Linked DNA regions of Alligator mississippiensis. The protein of the gene in region 1 interacts with the protein of each later gene in a pairwise test. Links are inferred from orthologs where the notes say so. Each region holds a gene or a part of one and is shown in the gene's direction. Other genes may lie near its edges.

Evidence for each region.
Region 2: the proteins of NTAQ1 (region 1) and FTH1 interact in a two-hybrid assay, tested with the Homo sapiens proteins (2 studies listed by BioGRID and IntAct). The two-hybrid records come from large-scale screens. The link is inferred for Alligator mississippiensis from reciprocal best matches to the Homo sapiens genes NTAQ1 and FTH1.
Region 3: the proteins of NTAQ1 (region 1) and GMDS interact in binary tests that used the Homo sapiens proteins (3 or more experiments, as listed by UniProt). The two-hybrid records come from large-scale screens. The link is inferred for Alligator mississippiensis from reciprocal best matches to the Homo sapiens genes NTAQ1 and GMDS.
Region 4: the proteins of NTAQ1 (region 1) and NUDT14 interact in binary tests that used the Homo sapiens proteins (3 or more experiments, as listed by UniProt). The two-hybrid records come from large-scale screens. The link is inferred for Alligator mississippiensis from reciprocal best matches to the Homo sapiens genes NTAQ1 and NUDT14.

What each region holds. Positions count from the first base shown.
Region 1 is NC_081826.1:20,601,392-20,608,254, reverse strand, and holds the start of NTAQ1 (protein N-terminal glutamine amidohydrolase), read left to right. Parts: upstream 1-3,852; 5' UTR 3,853-4,254; coding exon 4,255-4,328; intron 4,329-5,777; coding exon 5,778-5,877; intron 5,878-6,295; coding exon 6,296-6,346; intron 6,347-6,863. UniProt on the Homo sapiens protein: Mediates the side-chain deamidation of N-terminal glutamine residues to glutamate, an important step in N-end rule pathway of protein degradation.
Region 2 is NC_081825.1:179,165,673-179,173,624, reverse strand, and holds the start of FTH1 (ferritin heavy chain), read left to right. Parts: upstream 1-4,942; 5' UTR 4,943-5,105; coding exon 5,106-5,216; intron 5,217-7,059; coding exon 7,060-7,206; intron 7,207-7,952. UniProt on the Homo sapiens protein: Stores iron in a soluble, non-toxic, readily available form. Important for iron homeostasis. Has ferroxidase activity. Iron is taken up in the ferrous form and deposited as ferric hydroxides after oxidation. Also plays a role in delivery of iron to cells.
Region 3 is NC_081826.1:119,358,345-119,366,186, forward strand, and holds the start of GMDS (GDP-mannose 4,6 dehydratase), read left to right. Parts: upstream 1-4,826; 5' UTR 4,827-5,080; coding exon 5,081-5,179; intron 5,180-7,842. UniProt on the Homo sapiens protein: Catalyzes the conversion of GDP-D-mannose to GDP-4-dehydro-6-deoxy-D-mannose.
Region 4 is NC_081825.1:290,254,584-290,261,943, reverse strand, and holds the start of NUDT14 (uridine diphosphate glucose pyrophosphatase NUDT14), read left to right. Parts: upstream 1-4,341; 5' UTR 4,342-4,369; coding exon 4,370-4,450; intron 4,451-7,360. UniProt on the Homo sapiens protein: Hydrolyzes UDP-glucose to glucose 1-phosphate and UMP and ADP-ribose to ribose 5-phosphate and AMP. The physiological substrate is probably UDP-glucose. Poor activity on other substrates such as ADP-glucose, CDP-glucose, GDP-glucose and GDP-mannose.

The sequences.
Region 1 (6,863 bases):
CTGGCCTGCAGCTGGATCCCATTGCCCAGCAGCCCCTGCCCACACAGTTGTGGCCCGTTTCCATGGAGACCCCAGCAGTGGGGTCTGTGACAGTGTGGGGCCAGAGTTTCCATGGAGACCGGCCCCAGCATGCAGCTGGGCGGGGAGAGGCTCTGTGGCCGGGGCTGGAATCTTGCCGTGGTGACAGCGTGGGCTGGAGCTGGGGCAGAGCTGTGATCCGCTGCCTGCACATCCCAGCCTGGGGTGTGTGGGCCACAGATCGCAGCTCTGGCCCAGTTCTGCAAGATCCCACTGCAAGATCCCAGCCCCAACGCAGCTCCCCACCCAGCTGCATGGCTTGTCAGCTCTGCTGAGGCAGATCTCCATGGAAACCCTGGCCAGCGCCCCCGCTGCTGGGGTCTCCATGGAAACCATCCACAGCGATGCAGGTTCCATAGCCTGGACTTTACTCACCTCTGTTATAGACTAACCAAAATAGATATTTATCTAGCACAGGGGCAGATCTGGGAAGCGCAAGGTTGCAGTCACACCTCCCACCTTTGATTCCTCTTCCACCCAAGACTTAAAATAAAGGGCCTGGCAGTGGCAGCAGCATTTCTATTCAGGTAGCAGTGAGGGAGTCACTTGACTTCATGGCTCATTATCATCTACTTGATTCTTTCTAAGCTCTTAATTCCACAAGCCTTTCTGATTTGTAAATGGTCTTGCCATACCACTAATAAAGCTAGCCTTTCTTCTTTAATTCTCCTGTCTTTTAGCTGCTCCTGATAATGTAGCTCCTATTTCACAGCCCTGCAAACTGTTTTTAACTTTTGGTGCAAACATTAACTTGGGTGAACATCAACTCAGGTGTAAAATTAACTTTCAGTGAAGCACTGCATTCTAGATTCCCTACCTGCTCACCTCCCTGACCTCCCAAGTACAGAAGGCCAAATTCAGCCCATGACAGCAAGGTTCCTATTTGATGGGGGGAAACACATCTGGACATATTGTAAGAGCCATTTTGGAGATTAGAGTTCTGTTTAATAGTTCAGTCACACCTGCTTGCATAATTAATGGATTAGGAAACCCAAAATCATAGGATCATAGGAAGGGACCTCACAAGGTCATTTAATTTAGCCCCCTACTCAAGGCAGGATTATCCCTGACTAAAACATCCCAGCCAAGTGTCTGTCCAGACTGTTTTTGAAAGTTTCCAAGGATGGAGATTTCACAGCTTCTCTAGGTAGCCTGTTTCAGTGCTTCACCATCCTCATAGTCAGAAAGTTCCTTCTAATCTCCAAATACCTCCTCAGTCTTCTCTTTTCCATACTAAATAATCATCAGCATAAAAAGGTTTTCCCTTTTCATATATTTTTCATATATGATTCCTTTTCACAGCACTAAGCCACATCTCGGGCTGTCATCTGGGACCGAAACGAAGATCTCAGACCCAAAGCATAATCCTCTACTAGTTTTAGTAGCAACAAGTTCTTGATTTTAAAAAAGGCCTAATTGTAGGTTCCTAATCCATTAGCTCTTAAATTATGGCCTGGTTACCAACATTTTCATTAAAACTGGCTACTAAATACATTTTTCTATCTTGTGGTTCTGATTTGGGAATACACTACTAGTACTATATGGTTCAACTGATAGGGGAGAGAGGACAAAGACCACACTGTCTTCCAAACAGACATTGTTACACTATACTTTCCAATCCAAAATAAAATTATTTTAATGAAAAGCAAACCCGTTTTCTTCAAGACTGTTTTTTTACTTCCCTCCTCTTTAGCAAGAAAATGCGTGAAGAGTTCACATGAAGATTTTAGTCCCAAAAAAAGAAAAAAGAGAAAAGTTCAATATATTTCAGTTAGAAATGGGCATCAGCCAGAAACCTCACATCTGTACACTCCAAAATTCTCTTATCCACACATTTAATTGGAGACCTCACCATGGTTTTGATGTGAAGCCAGGAGTTTTAAGAACTGTCTTGTTCTGGAAAAATTTTTTGAGGGTGATATCTTTTATTAGATCAGCTATGCAGTTGGAGTAAAATTAGATAAGCTTTTGAATTCTTTCCCAGAGACCTGTCTAAGTGTCTAACTTTCTTCCAACTATACAGTTGGTCCAGTAAAAGATATCACCCCCTCCTCCCCCCCCCCAAAAAAAAAACAAACCCCACAACCTTTCCTCTCATATTTCCTGGAATATCACTGGTATTTCACTCCAACCTTACCAAAACATAATTTTTCTCACAGCCTTAAGCAGTTGGAGAAAGTGTCAGGCCTGCTTTGAAAGTTGCGCAACAGGATGTACAGGGGCCATAGTAGCTGTGAAAATAGAAAACAGAAGTACTAGTAGGTCAAATATGGACAGTTTAGGTTTGTTGTCAGGAAAAAAGAAGACCTCCTTTGCAATAAGACAGGACAATTGATCATTGTGAGAAAGACCAAATACTTCTTTAAACCCCTCGGTCACTGATTTCCTTATTTCTGTGTGCTAATGAGAAGAGTTTAAAACTATAAAAGGTAAGTGACACCCAAAGCAACTTCTAGAGACCAAACACATGCAGCCCCTTTCAGTTTGACTCAAAACCCCACACACCACTTGCTTGACCTCATTTACAGTCTGAATGCTTCAAGGTAGTCTGGTTCAAGCCTCCCTTGCCTTAGTACACAGCATATGTCAATGGCCGGCCCAATCCCCAGATAGGCAAAGCTATTTCTCATTAGTGGTGCTCAGGTGTCCCCGTAATATCATAAGCATTTATCAATCCATAACTTTTGCATAATTAAATTTTACAAGAGACTCTGGAATGCATTTGGTAAAGCTAGCAGCTTTAAAGAAGACATTGTTTTATGGCCCAGGCATTGAGAAGCCTCAAACGTTTTGAGGTAAAGTGTCTTGCCCTCAAAGAAGAGAGAGTGGAAGGAGGAAAAGGAGAGGAATCAGCCCACAGCCTACTCTCCCCTGCGGAAAGACCTGCAATTTCTGTGGGTGGACCTCTGGACTCTAAGCCACCTCAAGACCCATCAATGAGCTGTGGCAGAGATCATCCTCCAATTGAGGGATTGCTGGTGGTAACCGAGAAGACTTTCAAGCATCTGCAAGTTCCTGGGGCTTAAAACCTAGTCCAGGAATCTCCTTCTCCTGCCACTGATTTAAATGCAACCAAGAGGAAGCACTTGCCTCTACTATGACAGTATTTGCCCCACCAGGTACCAACTATGCTTTCTCTCTGGCTGGTTTCCATGCCCCTGGGAAACTTCTTCATTGTTAAAACAGTGAGGCAGTGAAAGAGATGCCTAGGGAAGTTGTGGACTCCCCATCACTGGAAGTATCCAAGAAGAGGTTGGACAGTTACTCATGAATGCTGCGTGCCCCCGGAGGCTGTGGGGAGCATGGCGAGCTCCCACAGGCGGTGGTGGCGCTGTCAGCGGTGGCAGCGGCAAGCTCCTGCAGGCAGCTGTGGCACTGTTGGCGGCAGGGGCGGCGAGTGGCAACGGGTAGTTGGCGACCACCCGCAGATGCCGCTGGAAACAGCAGCCAGCGGCAATCAGGGACCACCCGCAGATGCCACTGGCGGTGTCCTTGGTGGGGGGTGGGCAAGCAGCAACTGCCTCCAGGCGCTTTTTGCAGGGGTGCACCACCAAGCTTTGGGGGTGCACGTGCACCTGTGTTCACCTTCTACACGTCACCAATGCAGGCACTGGTCAGGGACGATCTAGGTGTAGCGCTGTGTTCTTCTATGGGGATTTCTCAGGCTTCTGGGCTTTGCTGCTTGCCTCCACCCTTACCTTTCTGCTACCTGTTTTAAGCCTCCCTCAGAGGCACTGGGTGTTGGCAACAGCCAAGCCTGGGGACTTCGGGTGCTGGCCGGAGGAGGTTCCTAGCTGGAGGGTCTCGCCCCTCTGCTCAGGGCCAGACGGATCACCAGATTGGCGTCAGGAAGGAATTTTTCCCCCTGGTCAGACTGGTCCAGACTGGGGGGGTGCTTTTTCCGTCCTCTCTGGCAGAGCTGCCTGGCATCTCTTGAGTGCAAACTGACAGCACCAGGCAGGTCGGGCGAGGAGGGCTGTGCCGTGTCAGCCTGGCTCGGAGCAGCGGCTCGCGGGTGCGGGTGCGGGGAGGCTGACACCGGGCTCGGGCCTCTCCCGCTCCTGCCAGGCGCAGGCTCCCTCCTCGCCCCCGCCGCCGCGCTGCTTCTTGCCGGCAGCGGTCGCTGCAGCCGGGTTTCCCGGGGAAGGAAACGCCGCGGACTCGCGCCCGGGCCCGATGGAGCGGGCGGCGGGGGCGGGCGCTGCACCTGCCCCTGCCCGGCACGGCTGCGTCTACACCAGCTGCTACTGGTAAGGGCGCCGGGCACGTGTGCGGGGGCGCGGGGCTGCCCCGGCCCCGGCCCTCCGTGCAGCCCCGGGCCGCGCTGCCAGGCGGGGCGCACGGGAGCCGGGAGCGGCCGGGGGAGCCGGTCCCCGCGGGTGCGGGCACGCACCGCCCGGCCCCGAGCAGCCCAGCAAATGCTGCTCCGGTCGGGGGGGGGGCCGGAAGGGAAACACTGTCTTCTTGAACACTACATCCCAGAGTCCCTTGCAAAGTTGAATTATGCAAAAAAGTGATCGATTGATGCATGCTTGTGATATTGCGGGGGCACCCGAGAGCCACTGCTAAGAAACAGCATTGCCTATCTGGGGACTGGGCCGGCCAGTCGCATCTTGCTGTGGGCTCAGGCATGGGAGGCTCCAGCCAGGCTGCCTGGCCATCCAGGCTGTAAATGGGGTCAAGCAAGTGGTGTGTGGGGTTTGGGTCAGCTGGGTCCTCCCCATCCAGACCCCGCTACCCCCGCGTACCGTGCTCTCAACTCTGCATGTGAACACCCCAGCCTGCCCCGGGGGAGAGCAGGGGCGCCACAGCAGCCGGCGTCCTGCCTCTATGACATGTTGTCCGTTTGCACTCAAAAGATCCTGGGCAGAGCGCCAAGCCCCCTGCTATAAAGGAAGGCAAAAGCCCTCCCAAGCCTGTACCAGTCTGACCAGGGGGTACAATTCTTTCCTGACCCCACTGATGATGGGTCTGACTGAGTGGAGGGGCGAGACCCTCCAACCAGGAACCTCTGGCTTTGGTCCCAGGGGGAGCACTGGCGCACCCCAGAGTCCCCAGGCTTGCTGTAGCTAACCTCCAGTGCCTCTGGGGAGGCTTAAAAACACCCTGACACATATAGCAGAAAGGTGGGGTGGGGTAACCAGCAAAGCCCAGAAACCTGGGAATACCCACGAAAGAACATGGGCACAGCTACGCATAGATCATCCCCAACCAACGGCTGTTCAGTGGCATTGTTAGGATTGTTTCTGTACTATCCTTCTATTTAAAACATTACATGCGTTTCACCACCTGCATTTCTCTTTTCAGGCCAGCTTTTTATTAAAGGGGCTCAAAGGGATACTCAACTCAAGGGTAATTTCTTCAGAGGAAAAGAGAAAGGGAAAAGTCTGGCACAATGCTAACTCTCGATACTGCACAGCATTTATTTTAGTTGGAGCCAACCAAATGCTGCTGCTTAGCCGTCAGACATTTGGACTGCAATACTGTTTATTAATTGTATGTGAAGATTTGTGTTATAAAAAAAACACCGTAGGTCTAAGTTCTAAATTTTATCTTTACAAACAGGTGTGTAAAGGAAGGGTCGGCGGGAAGTCCTGGGCAGAAGCTCAAAGTGGGAAAAGCACAGTGGCTATCCTGCTCTGAGTTTTATGAATTGGGAATGAAGCAGACATTTAAATAAAATCCCTTGTGTTTTACAGTGAAGAAAATGTTTGGAAGCTTTGTGAATACATCCAAAGCCAGGATCAGTATCCATTAGAAGAATTTTATGTTATTTTCATATCCAACGACAGAAAGATGGTAAGTTGTTTTCCATATCACTCATTTGTCACCACCAAATTGAGATTCAGGCCTTTTCACTGTGGTGGGAAGATGGCCCAGGCACATGCATAATGGGAAGCCAAAGAAAGACCCTAAAGTATTTTTGTCATGCATGTGTGAGTCAGGACTGGACAGGAACCTGAGATGTATTAAATCCCTCAGCCTAGTAGGAAACAGATGGAACAGATTGTAGGATACAAAATAGATCCCCAATTAGGAACTCACCAAAAAAACCCTCAGACTAATAGAAGCTTTATTATTATGATTATTACAGATAAAACATAAACCAATTAAGTTTGTCAGCCAGTAGACAATAATTTGTCCTGTAATAGTCTGAAATCTTACCTGTTTGTTTAATCTTACTTCAAAAGAACTTCTTAATACTTGTAATTTGCAGATACCACTTTGGAAGCAGAGATCAGGATGTGGAGATAAACCTGTAGTTTGGGTAAGGCATTCTATTCCCTTTTATGTTGGTTCTTTTACATACTTTTGTCTGCAGTGTTGTATCATCTTTTAGTAGCACATTAAACACTGCAACTAGCATTGCCACATATTTCTCCTAGTATTTCTTCCCTAAATCAAATATTGATGTGGGCATAATGGACAAGATGCACTTAGACTTTATCTTGCAGCTTCACAGCAAGAAGCTTAGCAGTCCTGGGCCTGGCAAGTAGTAGGCAACTGTCAATCCTCTGGAGCATGGTGTACACATAAGAGTAGTCAGATGCCTGATCCAACGCCTGACTGACAAGCCCAGTTTGAGAGTGACACAGCTTGTTACAAGTTTCATGGATCCATATGTTGTCTGAGTTGGAGTCCATATTTACAGCGTGCTGCTTTCTTCTTTATTGCTTTGCTTCCATCCCCTGGATCGAAGCTGCTTGATGTTAAGCTGCACCCAGTGACATGTATGGATAGGTTTCTATGTGCTCCTCCCAGCTTTCTATGTTGATGTTGAGCCA
Region 2 (7,952 bases), on another chromosome or scaffold:
AATAAGTTTGGACTGTAGTGTTCTTTTCTTTGAGCACTGACTAAAGCACTGCAAAACCATGCCAAGATTGAAAAAAAAAAAAAATGGAAACTGTAATTGTGAGCAGTTTCATGTATATAACTATGAACAGTAATCAACTAGAAGAGAAAAAAATTAAACCCCTGGAAACAATAGTCTTGGCCAGTGGTTTTCAACCATTTTTCATTTGCTTTGCTTTCATTTAATTTGCCTAACCTATTTTGAATGGAGGTACAGACCCCTTTGGACATTTTGAACGGAGGTGCGGACCCCTTAGAATTGTAAGTGTGGGTATTCACTTACTTTTGATTGATCATAGTCATCTTTTGTGGACCACTTAGATATACTCTGTGGACTGCTGGGAGTCCATGGACCACAGGTTGAAAACCCCTGGGCTAGGAAATGATTGTACAAAGCACCATCAAGACTTCAGGAAATGATTATGAAGCATGGGTACACAGGAAATATGAAATACAGGTCAGGTAAGTGGTTTATAGCAGGACTGTCTTATTATAGCCAGAAGTTTTAAGGAAAAGAAGGTGAAGATAATGTGACACACACCACCATTTCTAAAACAAAATTGGGCAAACCCAAATGAAAAATACAGCCCTACACAAGCTTGGGAGAATAATTCTAAAGGGATAGCCAAAAGAAGAATCTTAAGTACTTCAAGCTGAACTTTTATTGAAACTATGAACATGAAATTGTCACATGTGATGAATTCTGGATAAAGGACACTATTGTAAAACCAGACACTGATGTTGGAAATGCACAGCATACTCCACAGTGGCCACATGGATATGAAGTGGAAGGGCAGAGCCTGAAATGTCTGGTTCTAGCTGAGCATGAACACTATAATAGAAAGTAAAATATGTAAGTGTGCAAGTTACAACCTGCGTAAGCAGAGTTCAAAAGAGCCAATTTATTTATTTAGCTAATGCAAATCTGGGAATCCAAGCAATAGCCTTCGCTAAAAGAGCCGATGAAACTACATGGAATCAGAACTCGTGGTAGAGGTGATATCTTTTAAAAATTATTTAATTGCAAGCTTTCAGCAATTAAAGATTTCTTTTTTTTTGCAAAAATCTAGTTGGCCTAATAAAAGGTATCACCTCTACCACAAGTTCTGATTCCTTTTGCCTCCAGACCAATACGGTTACACTTTGGATACCTGACGAATGAAACTGCGTGACACTCCTAGTCAGCCTTAGCCCAAGGACTATTTGAATCAAATGTAAAGATTACCTTTCATTAGTGAACTACAATTGAATTGTTTTTTAAGCAGAGGTGTTGCACAATACTTCAAATAACAAGGCAAGAATGTGTTGTAAACACTAGGAGGTGCCAGAAAGTAAATAAAGTGACTCACAATTTACCAGTGATTGAGATGGCATTTCTTGCCTACTCAAGGGGTTAGCAGGAATCAGTTCAAATAGCTCAGAACTTGATTAAGAATGAAATCTTTGCAGGCTGAGTATTGTTAGAATACTACAACACACTTTGAAATGATCTGTCACAGTCACCAATGTCCAGGTTTATCAGGGACAGAGAAACAATAACCAGGATCCAGCAAGCTTCTCGAGTCAAGCATAGTAAGTCGGAAGTAATTGCAAAAGGAGCAATGTACCGGAAAACTAGAACATGAAGAATACTAAGAAAAGAATGTCAAAGAGCTATCTTATTTGTAAGTTGGGGGACTGTAAGGTGTGTGGGGAAGCATGGCTAGCAACCTGCCAAAGCAACTGATGGGCAGTTCTAGAGGAGGGTCTGAAGACATCTACACACCACCAAAGTGTACTATCACTGACAATATCAAATAAACTCTTGTCCTTTTATCTGGATTCCTGTGATATTTGGTGTATTTCTTGAAGTCCTAGCTTCTAAAATCACAGGTTTATGTGGTAACCTCAGCTTTCAATTGAAAGAGGAAGCGCCTAGCCTTCATGGTTACGTTTGTGACCCAAGTGCATGCAAACAGCTCAGTAACCATGCAACAATTCAAAGAATACAATGTTTATTTATCAAAGAAAAAAGGAAAGAAAATCATGGTTTTTGAATTCTTGGGGTTTAGTAGTACTGAATGAGACAAAATATTCATCTTTACAAAGGGTGCAAATTTTCTACCTTTTTACCTAAGTTTTCATCCTTGACTTCCTACTTTATTTTTAAATGGCCATGTTAATTTTTTATTCTTATTTTAACTCCATTCATGTCTTTATTTGCATTCAATTTGAATTAAAAAGGTATGTACTCCATTAACTGTGCAGTCAATGGATGCTGACACCTCTCATTATATAACCGTAATGCAGATCAGTGATTAAAGCCAGGAATATGTTCCGTTTCTTACTAGGCTTCTTCTTTAGTGTCATATCCTCCTACATCATTGCCCTGCTACAACTTGCTGTTCACTTCTTCAAGTAGGTATAAAATGAACTCCAGGCCCTAATGCTAATCCCAGTAACAACTTGGATGAGTTGCAGTATTTTACAATTACATTTGTTCCTGCTGACTTACCAGGAACTTTGCCCTTTATATGATGGTTACTTATTTTCCTGTAAATAGCACCCAGGTCAATAGGTTTTTCACACTGTTCCTCTCCAGTTTAAAATAGTTCACTCTTGTTGTGTGATCTCCATGAAATCTCTGCCTATTGTGATGTCAAACCTGAATAGGCGATCATTGTTACCCAATAATGTAACACTCATTTCCTGTGTAAGTCCTCTCATCTTCAAAACAAGCCGCTCGAAAAATAACTGATAAGTGGGTTGTGATTATGAGGAAACTTTTTTTTTCTAGAATACCTTAATTGTTAGGCAGTTGGGTTGTTTAATATTGTAGTAATTAAAGCCAACTAGTTTTAATTCTCTTGGAACAACAGTAACCCCTAACTTAATTTCTTTCAGGTCCTTCAGGCAAAATTGTGTTGTTTACTACTCTGGGACTGATGATATCATGGGAGTGGTATAGAGGTAAATAAGGGCTGCATTTGCCTTTATTTTACAGTCTGGAAGTTTTGGGTCATTCTGGCTTTTTGAATTGTTTTTTATGCAAGGCAATTTAGTTGTTGGAAACCAACTACCTCAGTTGCGATACCAATGCCCCTCTGCTTCACAGAAGGAAACCAGATCTGAGCACTGACAGACCCCATCTCAGGACAAAGCATTCCCATGCTTCCTTATTTCTGTTTGTAGCCAGCCCTCCATAAAGCCAGGGAGAGCCACAGAAGCCACAATGGCAACTCTTTATTCAAAGCGTTTGCAGAGCTCTGTGTGATCTTCCGCAGGAGAGACACTGCAGAATGTCTTGTCACGGAGCGCCACAGGCGCGGATGTGCCCTCTGCCACAACATGTCCCCCTGCCATGAAAGTGAAGTCTCGGTGAGATCACGTCATGAATTGTGCACACGTAGCCGCTCTTTTTAGTGGACTGAGTAAGAATGACTCCACTCTGGTTTCTTAGGTCCTACATCACATTGAAAGCCGAACGGAAATCCCCAAAGGCTCAGGGGCAGTGTTTCTGGTATAGGAGGAGACCTGCCTTGGGGTGTCCACAACCTGGGTGATCATGCGGCCGGAGGGGGGCGCTACATGCCAGTGGCATGGTTGTGTATGTGTATCTGCATGTGTGTGGGGGTACAAGGGGCACGGGACAGTAGTATGGTTGTGTGTGTATTACAAGGGACCCTGGCTGGCGGCATGGTTGTGTATGTGCGTGGAGTACAAGTGGCATGGGACAGTGGCATGGTTGTGTTTATATTTGTGGGGGGGGGGGTATAAGGGACTTGGGCACTCGACATGCTTATGTTTGTGTGTATGTGCATTACAAGGGACCCTGGCGAGTGGCATGGTTGTGTGTGTTGGGAGGGAGGTACAAGGGACCCAGGCCAGCGACATGGTTGTGCGCATGTGCGTATGGGTGTTACAAGGGACTCTGGCCAATGGCATGGTTTTGTATGTGTATGTGTTGGGGGGGGTAAAAGGGACATGGGCCAGTGGCATGGTGTGTGTGTGTGTGTGTGTATGTGTAGTAGTCATTCTGGTGGAACTCAATCAGAGTTTGCAGGTTCTCACTCCAAATGATGAAGATGTCATCGATATATCGTAAGTACAGCAAGGGTTTGATGGTACAGTTCTTGAGGAAGTCTTCTTCCAGGTGGCTCATAAAAAGGTTGGCATACTGTGGGGCCATTTTAATGCCCATAGCTGTTCCCATCGTCTGGAGGAAGTGTTGATTATTAAAAGTGAAATTGTTGTGTGTGAGGGTGAAGTGTATAAGCTCAGCGATATCTTTGGGTCTGTATTCTGGGTTGTAATCTTGTTCCTGTAGATATGTAAGGCAGGCATGGATGCCATCCTGGTGTGGGATGTTGGTGTATAGGCTGGTAACATCCATGGTGGCTAGGAGTGTGTTGCTGGGAAGGTGGTCTATGTTTTTAAGTTTCCGTAGCGTGAGTGTGCGTGCGTGCGTGCGTGCGTGTGTGTGGCGGGAGGGGGGGGTACAAGGGACCGAGGCCAGCTACCTGATTGCGCATGCGCATGTATGTTGCAAGGGACCCTGTCCAGCGGCATGGTTGTGCGCATGTGCACGTGTGTGACGTACAAGGGACCTGGGCCAGCTGCACAGCTGTGCACGTGTTTGTGGTGTGCACGGGGCCCGGGCCAGCTGCCCGGGTGTGGGCGTGCGCGCGTGGCCCAGGGGTAGCAGCGCCCCAGGCGCAACCGCCGCCTCGTGCCCAGGCAGGGAGGGGCGGGGCAAGCAGCCGTGCGGGCGCCTGCTGAGTCACACCGCGGTGCCCCAGGGAGCGCGCCCCCCTCGCCGGAGCAGAAGGCTGAGCTGGGCGTGGCCACGACGTAACCCACGCGCCGGGGCCCCGCCCACGTCGTGACGCGCCGCGGTCTATAAAGGCAGCTGCCGCAGGGGGGGTTGCGCTCAGAAGGCACAGTCCCTTCGTACTTGTAGCCTAGCAAAGCGCAGCGTCGCGCCAGCCTAGCGGGGGCGGTTCCTGCTTCAACAGTGTTTGGACGGAACCTGCCGCCGCTTCTGCCCGCTCCGACCCTCCTCGCCGAAGCCGTAGCCCCGCCATCGCCATGGCCACGTCCCCTTCTCAGGTGCGGCAGAACTACCACCAGGACTGCGAGGCCGCCGTCAACCGGCAGATCAACCTGGAGCTCTACGCCTCCTACGTGTACCTCAGCATGGTAAGCGCCCCGTCCTCGCCCTCGGGCCGTACCAACCCCCTCCGCGGGGGGCATACCATCTCAGCGCCGTGGCTGGGGCGACACATACCACCTCAGAGCTGGGGGGAGTACCAAGTAGGCGCCGCGGAGGCTGGGGGGGCTGTACCAAGTTGGTGCCCGGAGTGGGGGGGGGGCGGGAGTGGTGGCGGCCCCGACCGTGGCGGTGGCGCAGTTGGTGCCGCCCAGCGCGCGGGGCCCTGCAGGGGCTGTTATCGCGGGGCCCGGCCGCACCTGGCGCGCGATAGCGGGCGGCGCCGCCCCCCTCCCTTCTCCTCCCCGGGGAGCCCGCAGCTGGGCCTCGGGCGCACAGGCCTGCTGCTCCCGGGCTGCGGCTCCCCTGCGCTTAGTGCAGCGCATCCCGGGGCTGGTGGGCGCCAACTGCAGTGCTCTAGCTGGGCTGTGCCTTGTGGGTAACAAGGCCGGGGGGGTGGCTCTGAGCCCTAGTGTGGAAGAGCAGGGGTGCATCCTTGTGCCAGCTCCAGGCATCCGGGCTTGTTCAGAGCGGGATTCGCTACTGCGGCCCCTCCCCCGGGCTCCTGACTTGCCAAGCGTGTTCCCCACGGTGCAGCCGTGCGTAGTGCCTTGGTTGGCAGACATCTTCTCCTCTCCCAGCACATGCAGGGGCGTGCCTCGCACTTTACCTTCTGAAGCTAGGCTCAGCAAAGCGAGGTTGGCCCCAGAACTGTCAAAATCGCCCTCTTCATGGATGTTTGGAGTAGCATTGCTCTCTAGACAGCCAGTCTGAGTGTTGGTGTTGGGTGGGCAAGTAAGATGGGGAACATGAACACGGCACTGTCTCCCTGCTGCAGTTGGTCTTCCAGCATCATTTTGGGAGAGGCTGAGGCACCCTGGGCTTTAGTCTGGAGAAGACTGAGGGGATTTAGTAGCCTCTGACTACTTGCAGGGAGGTTGAAGCTAAACCAGTAGTTCTCAACCTTTCTTTTTTTCCTCCCCCCCATTTGTGACCCCCTAAAAACTGTAATGGTGGTACAGGCCCCTTTGAATTGTAAGTGTGGGTATTTGTATACTTTTGATTGATCATAATCATCTTTTGTAGATCCCTTAGACAAGTTTACAAACCCCCAGGTGTCCATGGACCATGGAGTTGAAAACCACTGAGCTAGACTGTTCTGAGTGGTGGCAGATGATGGAACAGGGAGCAACAGTCTCAAGTTGTATAAAGGGAAATTTGGGTTAGATATTAGGAAAAGCTTTCTCACCGGGAGGTCAGTAAAGCACTACAACAGACTACCCAGAGAGGTTGTGGAGTCTCTATCCTTGGAGGTTTTTAAGACCCAGCTAGACAAAGCCTTGGTTGGGATGATCTAGTTGGGGATGCTCCTACTTTGAGCAGGGGTTGGACTGGATGTGACCTCCCGTGGTCCCTTCCAACCCTAGTTTTCTATGATTCTATAATTTGTGAAGTGTTGCTCAGGTGAAGAATACCCATTTCAGTCTTGGAAATCTAAGCTATGATTATGTCTAGACTTTGGTCACAGCATGAGAAAGAGGCATAGTGAGCTACTTAATATCTGGTATTGGGTAGTAGAATAGCTGAGCTCTTGGTGGGAGCTGTCCCACCAATCTTGAGGGCAGTTAATAGCCATTGTCAGTTGGTTAAATGGCAAATTACTACAAGCTCTCCTACCAGTAAACTTTTGCCATCATGGCAGCTGCTTCTCCGTTGGTCTGGCTACTGTATAGTTAGGGCAATACTGAGAATATCTGGGTTTGTAGCAGATTTGCTCCTTATAGCTGTGAGACTTGTTGGCCAAAGTCTTTAGTATCTTAATTTTGTTTTCAGTCTTACTATTTTGACCGTGATGATGTGGCTCTGAAAAACTTTGCCAAGTATTTCCTGCACCAGTCGCACGAAGAGCGTGAACACGCTGAGAAACTGATGAAACTGCAGAATCAGCGGGGTGGTCGCATCTTCCTGCATGACATCAAGGTGAGCAGCACTGCAAATGCACCTCAAGGACACAGAGTACATTGGACCTGCAGCCAACCTCTGTCTTCTAAAGCTAGGCCCAGGCTGGAAGGGGAGGAGTTTCTAAGTCGGTGCAGACTGTCATGACAGTAAGTGAGGGACTGGTGAACAACACTGACCTGACGGCCACTCTAATGCTGGTGTGCGTTGTAAAGAAAGGATGAGATGTGTGTATAGGGCTGGAGTTGCACTAAGCAAGCAGCTGTCTAAATTTTTCTGCTGGTCTGTTTTGTGAGGTTTACACAGGGGCATTCCCTCAGCCCAGCTTGTGCTTTGTGTTGCAGTGATGTGATGTTCTTTTTAGATCCATGGTTACCATGGAAACATGGAAATTATGATGGTGGTTCCAATGGCATGCTGTGCCTTCACCACAGGATCCCGTAGGAGTAGCTGAGCTGGGAGCTGGTACTGAACAGACCTTCAGCCAGTATAGATAATCAACCTGAGCCGCCATGTGTTGTGATTCTGACACTGCAATGTTCCAAGTTCTTCCTTATTGTGGAAGTATCTAATGTCAAAGCAAAAATGACAAATACAAGAGAATACTGCTATAAAAAGCAGGTGCATAGTTTTCTATCCATCTTATTTTCATGCATTTCCTCTTAGTCCCTTCTCCCTGCCCCCTATTTCTGTACCACAGTGGGAACCAACCTTCTTAGACAGGCAGGGTGAGGGACATACCTGCCATATTCCATTTTGATCCCATT
Region 3 (7,842 bases), about 99 Mb from region 1:
TATGATTTATGCCACTTTTTCTGTTAGAGCTCAATCCAGCCTCCTCCCCCATCTCTAAGCAATGTAAGATGCACCAAGAAACATGCATTGTGATTCACAAAACTACATGGGACTGTGGTTGGCAGAGATATATCAGTCAGAAGTCATACCCAAACATGAAAACTCATATTTGCTGGAAGAATTTTTGTTTGCTTGTTTTTAGTGGGAGAAAGAACCTAAAGAGACATCCTTGCCCCATATAAAAACAATCCTATATCTAAGGTGTAGCCTACTAAATTACTTATTGTCAGGTTGTCCTCTGCTTTGTGGTATAATGATGGCTGTAAATGGAAAGAAACAACAATTTGAAGCAATTCCTCAAAATACTGCAAAACCTGCCACAATCATTGCTAGAAGCATAACTGATTGACTATCTTGTCAATATCAACTGCAAAACAAGTATACTTCCTTTCTGAAGATGGCACTTGAATGGATTAATGCAGATCATATAATTTGAGCCAGCCAATCTCTCTCTAAAATGGAGACTAATATTTTCTGAATGGTTAACTGAAGAATCCTGATTGAAGGTGGTAAGAATAGCTAATTTGATAGTATGTTTTTTATCTTCTTTGACACAAATTAAAAAAAACAGCTATTGGTGCAATGTAATTTTCATATTATGAAGTATACTATTTTTTTTTAGATGATGCTTAATAAGCCAGGTTCAGAAACTGTTGGACCCACTCTTGGAATGAAATATGGCAAGTGTGTACCTGTATGCAGAAATATTATCTAATAGCGGGGAGGAAAAATGTTATATTGTTGAAGGGAAGAGAAAAATAGCTTGTCAGTTAAAATTGGGGGTGGGGGGTGGAGAGGTTGACTGTTGGTTGTTATTTCAAAGAGGAAATTTGCAAAAGTCTGTAAGGGATTTACAATACAAAGCCCATTGGAAGCTCAGATTCATTAAGCACTTTTGTACATCTGCTTAATGGATTATCTGCATCTAAGAACTGTGAATATATTGCATGGTCAACAAAATGCTGGGTTGTTGGTTGTAGCCATGTTGGTCCAAGCACATAGCAGACAAGGTTCTTTGGGTAAATGTGATATCTTTTATTAGACCAACTAAAAAACTTGCAAAGAACAATTTTCCAACTTTTTAGTTAGTCTAATAAAAGATAATATCATATTTACTTAAGGAACCTTGTCTGAACAATAGTAACAATTTTTTGTTCTATCAACAACCTAATTAACTGTTAGTGGAAGACCAGGTTTTGTGTTGCTTTTCTACTGAGCTGAGTAGGGGGAGGCAAGGGGAAAAATCTGTGGGTTTTGGAGGGCAGTCACAGTCCTCCTTGAACGGAGTCAGGTATGTCGTTCAGGATAACATTGGGGAAGAGAGAACAGTTCTCTGGGTGAGTAGGAGTGGCAGTGGGTCTACAACATGTGCACATTGGGGAATGTGAGAAGACGGTGTCTGTCTGCAAAGGACCCAGATGTGAGTAGGGGATTGGGAAGCATTGGGTGGGGAGAATGTTCCCTGAGAGGCAGGGGAGCAGGAGTGAGTGGTGTGGAGATTGTTAAGGTTTTGATGTTGTTTGGGAGGTCTATTTCTGTTTCATGCCTTGTGGGCTTTATAGTAAGCTGCCCTAAGCCTTCTTTGGGTAGGGTGGCATATGAATCAAATTAAATAAATGAAAATGTTTGTCAAAAGAAATTTTATTTTAGGAAATGCAATTACCATTGTAAAGTACCACAGCATCCTTAAGAATCGGAAGTAGACAGTATTTTACATTTTTATCTTTCTACTAAATACAGCACAACACCCCAACATCAGACTGGAACACCCACTCAAAGTTTCCTTAGAAATGCTGTATTACAAACAACCATTTGCATGGAAGCTCAGTGTGTGCATGTGTGCTTTTGTTTGCTGCAAATTGCATGGTGTACTGATCTTGGGCTCCTCCTAAGTTCCCAGGCAGTGCCTCTGCAAAGACCTTTTCCTCTTTGTGCAGAGCAACATTTCCTTCTCAACTAGGACCTGGCCATAACAATACATACCTCTGTGCCTTGACATTACATTGATTGAACATGCTATACCTGGGGCTGTGCTTTGGGCAACATCTATAAACGGAAACTAACGTATATAGTATACCTGTGGGAAGCAGACTATTCCAGTACATTGAAATTTGAATACACTTCCAGTAAGCTACTAGACAATTTTCCAGATACTAGGACTGTAAAGTGTATACAGTTAATCAATATCTCTTAACTGGATGAAAAGAAAAAGAACAATTAAGTGGCTAAGAACTAAAAAGTGTGTGTGTGGGGATGATTTTGGAGTTTTAGACTTGATGCATGGTCAAGTTATTTAATCTCTAGTTACTAGCAATAGATATCAGTTTTGCCAGCCACAAAACTTTAGAAGAAATGAGTCTGGATTAAAAATTGATTTGTGTGCAAACTTTGAGTTCTCCACCACCATATGGTCCATACCGTCTCTTGTTGAGGTTCCCAATTTCTTGATTCCAGAAGTTGTGACAATTGCCATTTTTTTCCTTTGCCCTAAGACTCAGGATGAATTAGGGAGGCTTCCGTCATTAACAACCTTGTGTAAGAGAAATCACTGAGACCTCAGTCTGTAAGATGGAAGGAGCTCTGAGAAGCGTAAAACATTGATGGAATTAAGCTGGAATTCCAGAGCAGAGAGTGGATGGGAAAGACAAGTTACTGGTGTGCTATCTAGTGAGGGGGACTGGATACAGCCATCCTGTGCTGATTCTTCCTCAAGGTTCTTGTTCTCACCCATATAGAAATGGTGTTTTATTATGAAAGTGCAAATGGGAAGCACAACACTGTTCCTGCCCGTTGAGCTGTGCCTGCCTGTCCAGCCCTGCTGCATCCTTTGGTGGTTTTAAATACCTGCTGCTAAGACAAGCTTAGTTGCTACCTTCCCACACTGCTGAGCCAGTGCTTCTCTAGCTGACGGTCTTTGCTCTTGGAGCTGAAGGGGAAAGCCCATGACCAGATCTAGGATTCTGAAAAGAGGAGGGGGTATAGCTGATGTGGTGCATTATCACACAGAACACAACACATATCTTTCTCCAGTTAAAAACAAACTGGAAGGTTCACTAGTATATAAGGGCCTAGAGCTATAGCATTCAATCTAAGATTGAAGCAAAAAAAAAAAAAAAAAAGACTTAATTGGCATGTGCATTAATTTACTGTATCATTTTGTGGCAGGCTTGTCGGCCATAGCTGTTCCCACCAATTAGGTCACACTTAGGGAAGGGCTGGGCCACTCCTACCCAGGGCAAGGTGAACACCTGGTTGTAGATGGGCTCCACCTCACCTTAATTGATCCCTTTACAATCCAGGGGTAGAGCCTCCAGAGGGGATAAGAGAACAGCATGTCCGACACGCGGGCAGATGCTTTGAGAGATGGAGAAGAGAGCGGGGCTTGAAAGAGCTGAGGAAGAGCAGCCCAGCAGGTGGATGCTGTTTTCCTGAAGAGTACCTGAAGACGCCTCTTGCTGGACAGAAGGAGCGGCAGATGGCTTCTGCCCCAGTCGGTGCATAGTGCGGCGCACAGGGCGAGACCCTGGGAGCTGCACAAGACAGCTCGGGTCTGCAACCCCTGGCGTGAGGCCGTAAACCCAGAGCCGGTAGTGTGGTGTGGTGCAGTGGGACCCTGACCCTGGGAACTGCTCAAGGCAGCTCGGGTCCGCCATTTCCTGGCACACAACCAGGACTCACGTGCACACTCGTTGTGCACCTGGTCCCAGGCAGGGACCTGGGTCTCGGAGCCACAGAAGACGGCCTGAGCCCCCAACCATGAGCAGCAGGCAGAGCCCTCAGTGGCTGAAGTGGGGCACAGGGCTGCGAGGGGATCAGAGGCCCTGCAGGAGCCAAAGGCCTACATCTTCATCAGCTGAAAGAAACCAAGTTTGGGGTGACAGGGACCCCACATAGCCCACGGGAGCTGCGAGTTACTGGGGAAAGGGTTCCCACAGGGGAGAAAGCCCCTGGAAGGGGGTCTAGCAGAGGGCCCTGCAAGGAAGGGGTCCCCGGCAAGCCCGTGAGGGGCTGAGAGGTTCTGGGGGCCCTTCCTTCTCCCCTTTTTTGGAGCAGTGCCAAGGCTCCTAGCATCAAAGGGGAATCTCCAGTACTCCCAGTGACTTGGTACACTGACGGGTGTGCATGTGCCTCATATTTTGTAGATAGTGCCTGATATTTTGTTATTTCTAATGGGAGTTGCTGTTTATCTGTTGTATATTGAATATATATTTATCTGTCTTGTTGAATCCCTTGTTGATACCCACCCCCCTGTGGTTTGCCAGTATTTATTTGCTGCTCACCTGTATTTACTTGTTGGTTATTTGGACTTACCTGTGCTTACCCATTTCAGATCAGTTACTTACCTGTGCTGGGTTCGAGGCCATTGGTGGTGGTATCATTTCCTGGTCACCAATTATAGACTAAAGCCTGATATGACAAGTGTATATATTTATTAATATCACTTTTTGGGTTGTGTGTGTGTGTGTGTATTATATATATTAATAAACCTGTATATAGTTTAAACTCTTTTTGTCCTGGCCTGACTCTAGAGAACAGAGGGGACGGGCAGCACAGGAATCCAATGCGAGGGGGTGGGCGCAACCTGCTACCTCACGTCCCGCCTGGGATGCCCAGCTGCCCCACGCCCCCTTGCCAGGAGCAACGCAGCGGCCCGGGCTGCAGTGTGCTCCTCCCTCCTGCAGGGGGCGCCCCGCCCCCTCCTCCCGGGAGCCCGGAAGTCGGGCTTTGCCGCCATTGTCCAATCGCAGCCCGAGAGCCGCCAGGTTCGGTGGCTCGTGTTTCTGTAGCTGCTCGTGATTGGCGGCCGGCGGCGGCTCTCGCTTTTCAAGTGCCCGGAGGGAGCGGGGTTGAGACAGGTGTGGCGGGGCGAGGTGGGCGCGCTGCAGCGGGGCGGGGCGGAACGCGGAAGTGCCTGCGCGCCCGGCGGCCGTTGCCTGAGGAGCAATCGCCGCCCTTGGGCGGCCCCGCCCCCTCCCGGCTCCGGGCGGCCCATGCGCTCCCCCCGCCCTCCCCGTTCCACATGGCTCAGCCACCCTCCTGTCCCGGCTCCGGCTCTAGCTGCGCGGCGGGCGACATGAGTGCCAGGAAGGTCGCGCTCATCACGGGCATCACGGGCCAGGTAAGCGATGGTAGCAGGAGCAACGATGGTAGCCGGCGGCAATAGCCACAGTGATGATGGTGATGCCGGGCGGCAAGACTCATGGTCAGAGCAGGCTGATGGAAAAGGTGGGCGGGAGGGAGGCAGCACTGGTGTTTCTCCGTCAGGGGGCTGGGGTGGCAGGGCTTTGCAGCAGTAGTAGCCACTTGCACTTTTCTCTGCTGTCCCTGCTCCCCTGGGGTTTGAGCAAGGTGCAGTAGGAGGGAGGGCACTGAAGCTCAGGGAAGCACGGAGGAGATGCAGTACGAGCTGGGGCTGGTGAGCAGGGGGGGCTTTGCCTCCCTCTGTAGTGGGCGTGTGATCCTGGGAGCTCTTGAATGTACATTGGCAGCATTTCTTAGAAGTAGGACCCTGGGTCCCCTGCTTTGCCTGTGGCAGGTGAGGGTGTTAGGTCTGTGTTGTGTGCGGGCTGACGGCAGCCTTGCGTAGAGTTTAGGGGATGGAGTGCATAGGGTGGTTTGGACAGCGATACTCCTAAGTCGGGCGGGGGCTTGGCCTAGGTAACTTGGAGGTCCCATTCAGCCCGACTTCTCCCTGAGTCATTCTTCTCTGGCTGTGCCATCTGTTAGGGCGAGTGTACACAAAATGCTGTGTCGCTGTAGCGATGAGCTACAGCAGCATAGCGTCAGTGGGCACAAACAGTCACACTGATGTTACTGTGCAGTACTAACCAGTTTGTTGCTACTGTGCAGTAGGGTTGGAAATTACTCCTGCGCAGTCATTTAGTACTTGCTAAGTCAAATACGAAATGACTGTGCAGTAACAACTGCGTAGTTGGGCGTGTGTGTAGATGCACCCTCTGAGTAACATACAGTTTATTTTTATATAGAGTCAGTCTCACCGTTGTACAAGATGTTGGATGTTCTGCAAACGGCCCAATCGCGGTATTGCAACATCTGGTTCCCAGGCTCAAGAGGAGAGATGAAACAGTTGCTTATATTTGCCTTCCTGGATCAGTCTGTCTTTACAAGCACTATCTGCTGAGAAGGTTTACCACAAGAAGAGAATAGGTCCTAACCCACATAAAATTCCCAATACTGATGTCTTGGCACCAGGCCTGAAATATGGATAGATGTGTGTTCTAGCATAGGTCTGATGGGTCAAAGCAGGATCTTTGAGGTCCTGGTGGCACAGGTTGTTGAGCTGCAGCTGGTGGTGGCACTTGGAATGAGCGCAGATCTCCAGGAGCTCAGCCTGCCGCTTCTCTACAGACAGCTGGTACTCAGCTGGGTCCAGCTCTGGTGGCAGCGACACCATTGGCCCAGGCTTGTAGCCAGGCCTTGAGGAGGCAGTGGATGCTATCATCCTGATCTGCTGCCTCTTATAGCCATCTGTCAGAAGCCTTAAAGTTGCCCTGTGCTATTATATACTGTCTCTCTGTAGTTGCCCAAGTGACAGCCCCCTTTGCTCTGTGATGCAGAAGCTGCATGCAGCTGCTTGCTCTAGCAGCTTTGAACTGTTGTATGGTACAAGTGATTTATTTGGAAAGCTCCACAGACCAGAGAGAGATGCTTTTGTTGCTGCATAGTGTCTAAGGCAGTGGAGCTCAACTATTAGCCTGCAGGCTAGGACTAGTCTACAGAAATGTGTCAATCAGGTCATGGGTCTGGAAATTTGGTGATAGGGGAGCAGTGACTGCATTAGTTACTGTTCCTCCTGCTGCAACATTTCTGGACCCATGGGGAGACTCAAGGGCCAAATGATGTGGCCTTCCATGCAGGATCTGGCCCACAGATGGACATCACTAGTCTAAGGTAATATCTTAGTCTACATGAGCAAATTGTACACATCTCACTAACTTTCTGTGCTATCCCTGAAAAGTCTTCTGTATACAAGATTTTTCCCCCCTTAAAATCAGTGATCTGAAAGACCAATAATTCCTACAAATGGTATCTTCTTCTTGTGAAATAAACCTTCCTTAGGCTAGTTATTAATTGTCATGTGGTCACGATTGACTATACAGTTCCCTTACAGTACACTCTCACAATGGAGATCTTGGACAGAGGCCCAGGACTGGAATGGGTCCGCACAGAAAGTGAACATGTTTTGGTGTTTCCTGCTGAGGGCATCCACAGCAGAAATGAAGATGTGTCCATAGCAGGGGTAGCTTTAACCTTGCTGCCACATCTTCATTAATGCTGTGTAGGTTAACTAAGACCAGCAGTCACCCAATGAAGGTGCTAACCTTCCTGTATTTGGAGTATGTTCTTGGTTGCAAGTTCATGATGTAGTTGTATTGAAGGTGTGACAGCACTATTGTTGCCTTTGTTAGCTAGCTAAAAGCTAGCATGGGTATGCCTTGTCCATACTCCAGTTATATGTGCAGTGCAGTTTGCTGTTGGAGGAATGGTTACTTGGAAAAGTGTCAGAAAGATACTATACAACAGTTGCTTGTACTTATGAATGCTTAAGGCTGTCATCAGTGCATCACCATTTGTAAGCATTATGTTTTTTTAAGATTGGAAAGGGCAGAATTTATATTTCCTTTTACTAATTGCTTATAACAACTACATATTAGCACAGTAAGGATGGCCTTCTCCATCTCTGATTGTACCAAGCGTGTTCAGATTCACGGGCAACAAACATAATTTGTTAAATGGGACATGGTTGCTGTACAGAACTGC
Region 4 (7,360 bases), on another chromosome or scaffold:
CCTCAAAAGCATTGATTTAAGTCCCTTTTCTCTTAATGAGTAGCTGTTGATTCACAACATGTGCAAGTTAGTGGGGACAGCAAGTTTTTTACACATTTTAAAACATGGTATTTAGACATGATGTGGCTGTTGCTTAAATTCAGTAATGAGGGAAATGACGTTCGTAAAACAGCTTGTAAGCAAATGTGTAGCAGCAAAATGTGAATGAATAGAAACTTTAGGCTGCAAGATCAATACGACTCGGTTTTGAAACAGAAAGAAAAATCTGACACAGTAGGTGTAAATTAAGAAGAGAGATTTATTCCTGTTCATCAATACTTCCTGTCTGTCAGTGCTTTGAAGATAATGTCACTGTTGGTGCATCCACATGAGATGCTTTACTGCACATTATGCTAATCTAATGTGCAGTAAAGCGTCACTGTCTACACATGTGTGGAACTTAATGTACAGTAAATTAGGGTAATGTGCTGCTTACAAGTACCAGGAAATTCAGGTACTAGAGTAACAGCACATCTTTGCTCTGAGTCAGCCCAGGCAGCAGAGAGCCTGCTGCTGTCTAGCTAGGTCCCAATATGGGAGCGGGGGAAGCTGTGCCAGGTACAAGGGCAGCTGTCTCCCTGCCACGTGTGGATCAGGAGCTATGCTGATCCCCACATGGCCAAGAGAGCTGTCCTGGCAACTGGGACTGCTGCATCCCAGGTACGTGGAAATCGGGTTCTGACCCAATCCCCATGTGGTTGGGAGACCCGTCCTGGCAGCCGGAACTGCTGCATCACAGCCACGTGGAGATCAGGTCATGACCTAATCCCAATGTGGCTGGGAGAACCGTCCCTGCTGAGTGGGGATGCCACCTGCGAGCCACATGGGGATCCGATCCCCACATAGCTGGCAGGCAGCATCTCTACTGAGCAAGGACAGCTTTCCCAGCCACGTGAGGATCAGGACTGGTGGCTCCCGTGCTTCCTGTCAGCTGCAGGGCTGGCACCCAGGGGAGCCGGGAGCTCTGCCTGGCTGCTGCAGGGAGGCAGAGCAGGGCAGGAACAGCTCTGAACTGGGCTGTTCCTGTCAGGCACAATTTGATCCCAATGGGCTGCCTATGAAGAAAATTCAGGCACATTAATTGCACATGTAGATATGCCCTGTATAGTGCAGGTACCAAGCAGCATTACTGATATGTTGTCACTACCCCACAATCACTATCACAAAGGGTGAGAAACTGGAGATTAAGTTCTGAGTTTATTATCAGTTAATTATGTAGCTCAACATTGCACTGAAGTATCCAAGATAATCTCCGTTTTTTTGTCTGTACTATATTTGAGAAAGTCTAATAAACAGGATAAGTTGAATAGGCAGTTGTTTTGGGGACTGTCATGTGGAGGTAAACTAGCAAATTATAGGGTTGATTGAAATGATGCATTTATGTAATGCTAAAACATAATAGTTGGTTTTAGGGCATATGGTGGGGCATTTTCATGATGTGGGCCCAAGTCTTGCAATGCAGGACACCTGTACTCACAGAGAGCCTCTTCCAAGGATCAGCAAAACATGCCAAAGATGTAAAATGTATCATTGTAACTTAGTTATCAGATGCAGCTTTGTGGTAGGATTTTTTTGCTGAATAGATCTACTGCTATAAGTATAATAAATGTTACCAGTAGCCAATATTGCCAATTTTTGAAGCTTTATTGAGAGTCTTGCAATATGTGGTATTTTTCTTAAAGCACTAGATTCTAGAGTCAAATGATTTTGTGAGGTCCTCAGCACTTATTAAAACAATAACAAATTTCTTCTTCTCCTGACTGAGGACAAAGGGTGGACAATATGTTGTGGTTGTACATTGAGTATACCTTAAATACTAGAGAACAAAGGAAAAAAACCCATAAACAACCAAACCCCCCCCCCCCCCCCCACTCCTTATGTTAAGCCACTCTAATGATGCGGGGTGACTTTTGAATGTTTTAACAAGACATTAAATAAGGACCTGATCCTGTAAACACTATCTACCAAGCATCCTGCCAACTACTGGAGATAACCCCCATTGAGTTCAGTAGGATTGATTATTCATTGTAGCAGGTATTATGGCTCCAATCCTGTAATTGCATCTACATGGTATATATGCTCACCTGTAGGAACTGATCCCTGTATCAGCATGAGGTCTGAGTGCAAATTATAGGTTGGTTTGCCTGCACGGATGCAGTGTTAGGATTTGTAGAAGTTTAGGTAAAGAAATTTACTTGTTACGCTTTTAATAAGCACTGAGGATCTCACAAAATCGTTTGACTCTAGAATCTAGTGCTTTAAGAAAAATACCACATATTGCAAAACTCTCAATAAAACTGCTAAAATTGGCAATATTGGCTGTTGGTGAGATTTATTATACTTATAGTAGTAGATGTATTCAGCATTCAGAGGATTGGTAATTTAGGCTCCACTTCTCCAAGTGCATACATATGGGTGGAACGTCCTGTGACTGACTGCAAGTCAAGCCAAGTCAGTCCCAAGGCTTCTGCAACTATTGGGGCACTTTAGATGCTGTAACAGCCCTTGAGATTAGTTGAGTTGCTTTGCATCATTAGTGATTCTTCAGGCAGAGTGATTTGGTGGTGCCCATCTCTCCAGGTATGGATGGCCATTGGCTTGCAGGGACCATGGAGCAGGCTGTACTGGTTGACATGGTACCAGATAGGCCTGGCCTGGCCTGTTGTGACTGACTGCACATAGCTGAAATGGAGCCAATGGCATTCTGAATGGATGCAAATATCTGCTCGCGCAGGTCCAGCTACAGTCGGGGCTATAGTTCTTTCTGCCATTCTAGTTCGGATTTAAAAAAAATAGTTTTTAATCTTCTTATCTAGATTTATACTTAGTGTAAGCAGTCTAGCACGCAGACATGGATTATACACTTCTATTTTCTGTAACGCATGCCGCAGGTTTTGTTAATCTCGGCTGACTGATTGGATTTCCCAAAATATTATGCACAATTGATTTTTGTTATAGAAAATGCAGCATGAATAAAAAATACCAAGCCATTACTTATCAATATGGGCCTGATCCTACAGAGATTTATACATGTGCTTGAGATATACGTGCAGTCTACGTGAAGTCAAAAATGCAAACCATTGCAGCAGTGCTGAGGTTTATGTTCCCAGCTTCCTACACACGTTTCAGAAAATATCAGAAATCCAAAAGCCCTAGGTTTTGAATTTACTAATCTTTAGTCAACTCTGTGAAGATTTGCTTTAGAACAAGCTCACAAAGAGGGAGGTGGCATTTTGTGAGCCAGATTTCTGCTACCTCCACACCCTACAGAAGACACAGATGTTCATAACCTTGTCCAGGGGGGTGTTTTTTTAAAGGGGTAGGAGTAATTCAATAAATAAACAGATGTGTGTGTGTGTGTGCAATGTATACATAGATGCATGTACATGTGTGCACATTAGGTATATAGACACACATGCATACATGTGTATAAAATATAGGCATATAAATACATATGCATTTGTGTATGTGCCTATATATGTATATACACACATATATGTACATGCATATATATACATTTACATGTATGTATATCTATATATTGAGGTACATATAAATGCACACACATATACATATATGCACACACACACGTAATCTATTCCTCTATATACACACATATCCACACACACGTGCATGTATACATATACACACATATAAGCACACATACATGTGTATCTATAGCTATCTATCTAGGTGTGGGGATATCCACATGTATATGTGGAGATTTATGCATATGTGTGCATATCTGCACCCCCCCCACACATATATACATATATATGCACACACACATATACGCACGTGCACACTCACATATTTAGATATGCACGCGCGCACACACATGCACACACACACACATATATGCACGCGCACACATACACGCACGCGTACATATATATGCACACACACATATACGCACGTGCACACTCACATATTTAGATATGCACGCGCGCACACACATGCACACACACACACATATATGCACGCGCACACATACACGCACGCGTACATATATATACACACACATATATATGCATGTGCACACATATATATGCACAGACATGCACATACATACATACACACACATACATACATATATATATATATATATATATATATACACACACACACACACACACACACACATACATACATACATATGTATGTATGTAAATATATATATCTATATAGATATATGTACACCCCCCCGCAGGAGCCGGAGCCGGCGCCGGTCCATGCTGCGCCGATGCCCGTGCCGGGGGCGGGGCGGGGCGGGGGGCGTGGCGGTGAGTGTGCGGGCTCCCGGGCCCCGCCCCCGGGCAGCGGCGCGCGCATGGAGGCGGTGGACGAGCTGTCGCTGCGGCCCTGCGCCGCCTCCGCGTTCCTGCGGCCCTTCCGCCTGCGCTACCGCCAGGTGAGTGCGGCCGCCCCGGGCCCGCGCTCACACGCCCTGCGCGGTGTGTGTGTGTACGTGTGTGTACGTGTACGTGTACGTGTGGTGTGCAGCGCAGCGCACACACTCACAGGCACGCGCCCCCTCATCGCCCGTTGCCGGAGGGGCTCTCGGGTGGCTCCCTGAGACAGGTGAAGGGAGAGGAGCGAGCGAGGGGCAGCGGTGCTCACTGCTGCCTGGATGCGCCGGAGGAGCCAGTGGGCCCTGCCCAGTGCTGCTTGGCCTGGAGACACGACCAGGCCGCTGCCGGGCCGGGCCGCCTCATGTGGCACCCTGACCGTGGGCCAAACCCACCAGCTACAGCTGTGACCTCCCCCCCCCCTCCGGTGATGGGGGCCACGAAAGGCACATCACTCATCACTTGGGACAACAAAAGACAAAACGGGGATGGGAACGAAGGTCGTAGCTTCAGAACGAGTGCCTGGAGAGAGGACACCGAGCAGAGCCCGCCAGACAGCGCCTGCTGGCCCTCAAACCAGTCCGAGGAGCCCGCGGACGCTGCCTGGAGGTGTGAACACACAAAGGACAGGAAAACAGCGCCACAGTCCTCAGGGGTCCTCCCGCCTGGAGCCTCCTTCCTGGGTCGATCTGGTGTCAGTTTGGTGACATCCAGGAGGAGGTTGACCAGGACCTCCTGGGACTTGGCGGGGCCGTGGATGGGGAGCACGTGAACAAAACAGTGCAGGGAGCTGTGCGCTCAGGACCTCGGTGACGGGGCTGCAGCCTGGCGCGCTCCAGGCAGGTGCATGCCGGGATCTCCCTTTGCGCACAGATGGGGCAGGCATCAGGCAGGTCCGTGAGCTGTGCCGGGCGCACACCTGTAGTGACAGCTCCGTGGAGGAGCTCCCATCTGAGGCCCCGGTGACTCGTGGGATGAGAGTGGAGCCCAGGGAATGGCGTCCTGTCAAATCTATCTGATGTACATTGGGAATGCGGGCCACTGCCCACCAAGTAAAGCTAAACACCCCCTTAATTTGCGGGCCATCTAAGTGAGCATCAAGTGATTACTGGGGAAAACTAAAGAAGAAAATGAAGGGGAACGAAACAGAGGTTCAAAATGAGTGCACTGAGGGGAGACACCGAGCACAATAACCAAACAGTGCTCACCGGCCCTCAAAGGAGTCCGAGGAGCCAGTGGGCACTGCCCAGTGACACGCTGCCCGGAGATGTGAATGGATGAGGGACAGGCCTTTTGATTTGCCATTCCCATTCGAGAACGTGGGCCAAAGCCCACCAAGTAGAGCTGTAACCCTCCTTCGATGAAGGAGGCCGCTAAGGACATATCACTGATCGCCTGGGACAGTTAAGGGACAAAACAGGGATGAGAGTGAAGGTGAAAGGTTCAAAATGAGTACGCTGAGGGGGGACCTTGAGGAGAGCACACCAGACAGTGCCCACTGCCCTCCAAGGAGCCAGTGGACACTGCTCTGTGAAACTCTGCCCGGAGATGTGATCAGACAAGGAACAGAAAAACAGTCCTGCCATTGCTGCAAGACCCCCGGCCAGATCCTCCTTCCTGCCTAGGTATATTGCTAGCTTGGTGAGGGCCAGGCCTATTTGCCACATTAAGGGATTGTGAGACAGTGCCCACTAAATAAAACTAAAGACCTCCCTCAAAAAGGAAGGCTACAGGGAAAGTGGCAACTGATTTCTGGGGACAAATGATAACAAAGCAGGGCCGGGAATAGAGGTCAGAGGTTCAGAAGGAGTGCACCAAGGGGGGACACTGAGCAGAGCTCACCAGACAGTGCTCACTGGCCCTCGAACGAGTCCAAGGGGCTAGTAGGCACTTCCAGGAGAAACTCTACCCAGAGACTTGAGCAAGTGAGGGACAGGCCCCACAGTCCTTGGGGGTCCTCCCGGTCCTCTTGGCCAGAGCTTCCTTTCTGGTGAGATAGATGGCCAGTTTGGCTAGGACTAGGAGGAGGTTGACCAGGAGGTCTTAGGACTTAGTTGGGCCACAGATGTGGAGTGCACAAATAAAAAGTTGCAGGGAGTGGTGCTGGAGGAAATGGTGCAGAGGAACAGGAGGTTCTGGAGGAGCTGGAGCAGGGGCTGTAGCCTGGTGCACTCCAGGTAGGTGTGTGCCAGGGTCTCCCTCTGCTCACAGAAGGGGCAGGTGTAGGGGGTGTCCATGAATTGTGCCAGATACACGCCTGTGGCAACAGCTCCATGGAGGAACCACCAGCTGAGGTCCTGAGTGGCTCGTGGAATGAAGGTGGAATATAAATAAGCTTGTCCACTGGAGAGCGGTGTCCTGTCCAGAAATGGTTGTATGTATGTATGTTAAGCACGTGTATATGTATGCTTATGCACGTCTGTCTGTAGATTTATGTTAAGCGGGCACTGGGCCCAGCCCTCCAGGGTGGGGTGAAATTGAGAGAAATCCTCCCCCAAGGGTGGTAAGATCCTAAGGCTTGTTTGTTAGATCCTGGAAAACAGTGGTCCTCACAATGATAAGCCTGCCTTTTCTCAGTTCAGGTGCTAGATACTATACAACTAGTTATGGGGGCACCAAAAGAAAAACACTGGGGTAGGCGCGGGGGTCACAGGTTGATCACGAGGGATTGGAGTGGGGACTCCAAGCACAGCACAGCACAGCAGGCCGGTGCCCGCTGCTCTTCAGCTATGTCCAAGGAACCAGTGGATACCACCCCATGAAACTACTCTGGGGACATGTGCAGAGGAAGGGCTGGAAAATGGTCCCATAGTCACCTGGGGTCACCCAGTAAGATCCCCTGGAAGAGCCTGAATGATGACCTTAGCCAAGCTGGGAGCCATGATTCTCATGTTTTTTGCACCGTTTCAGAGAGCTCAAGTCTTCCCTGTGTGGGATGCAACATATGATAGTTTGTATTTATACGGCCACAT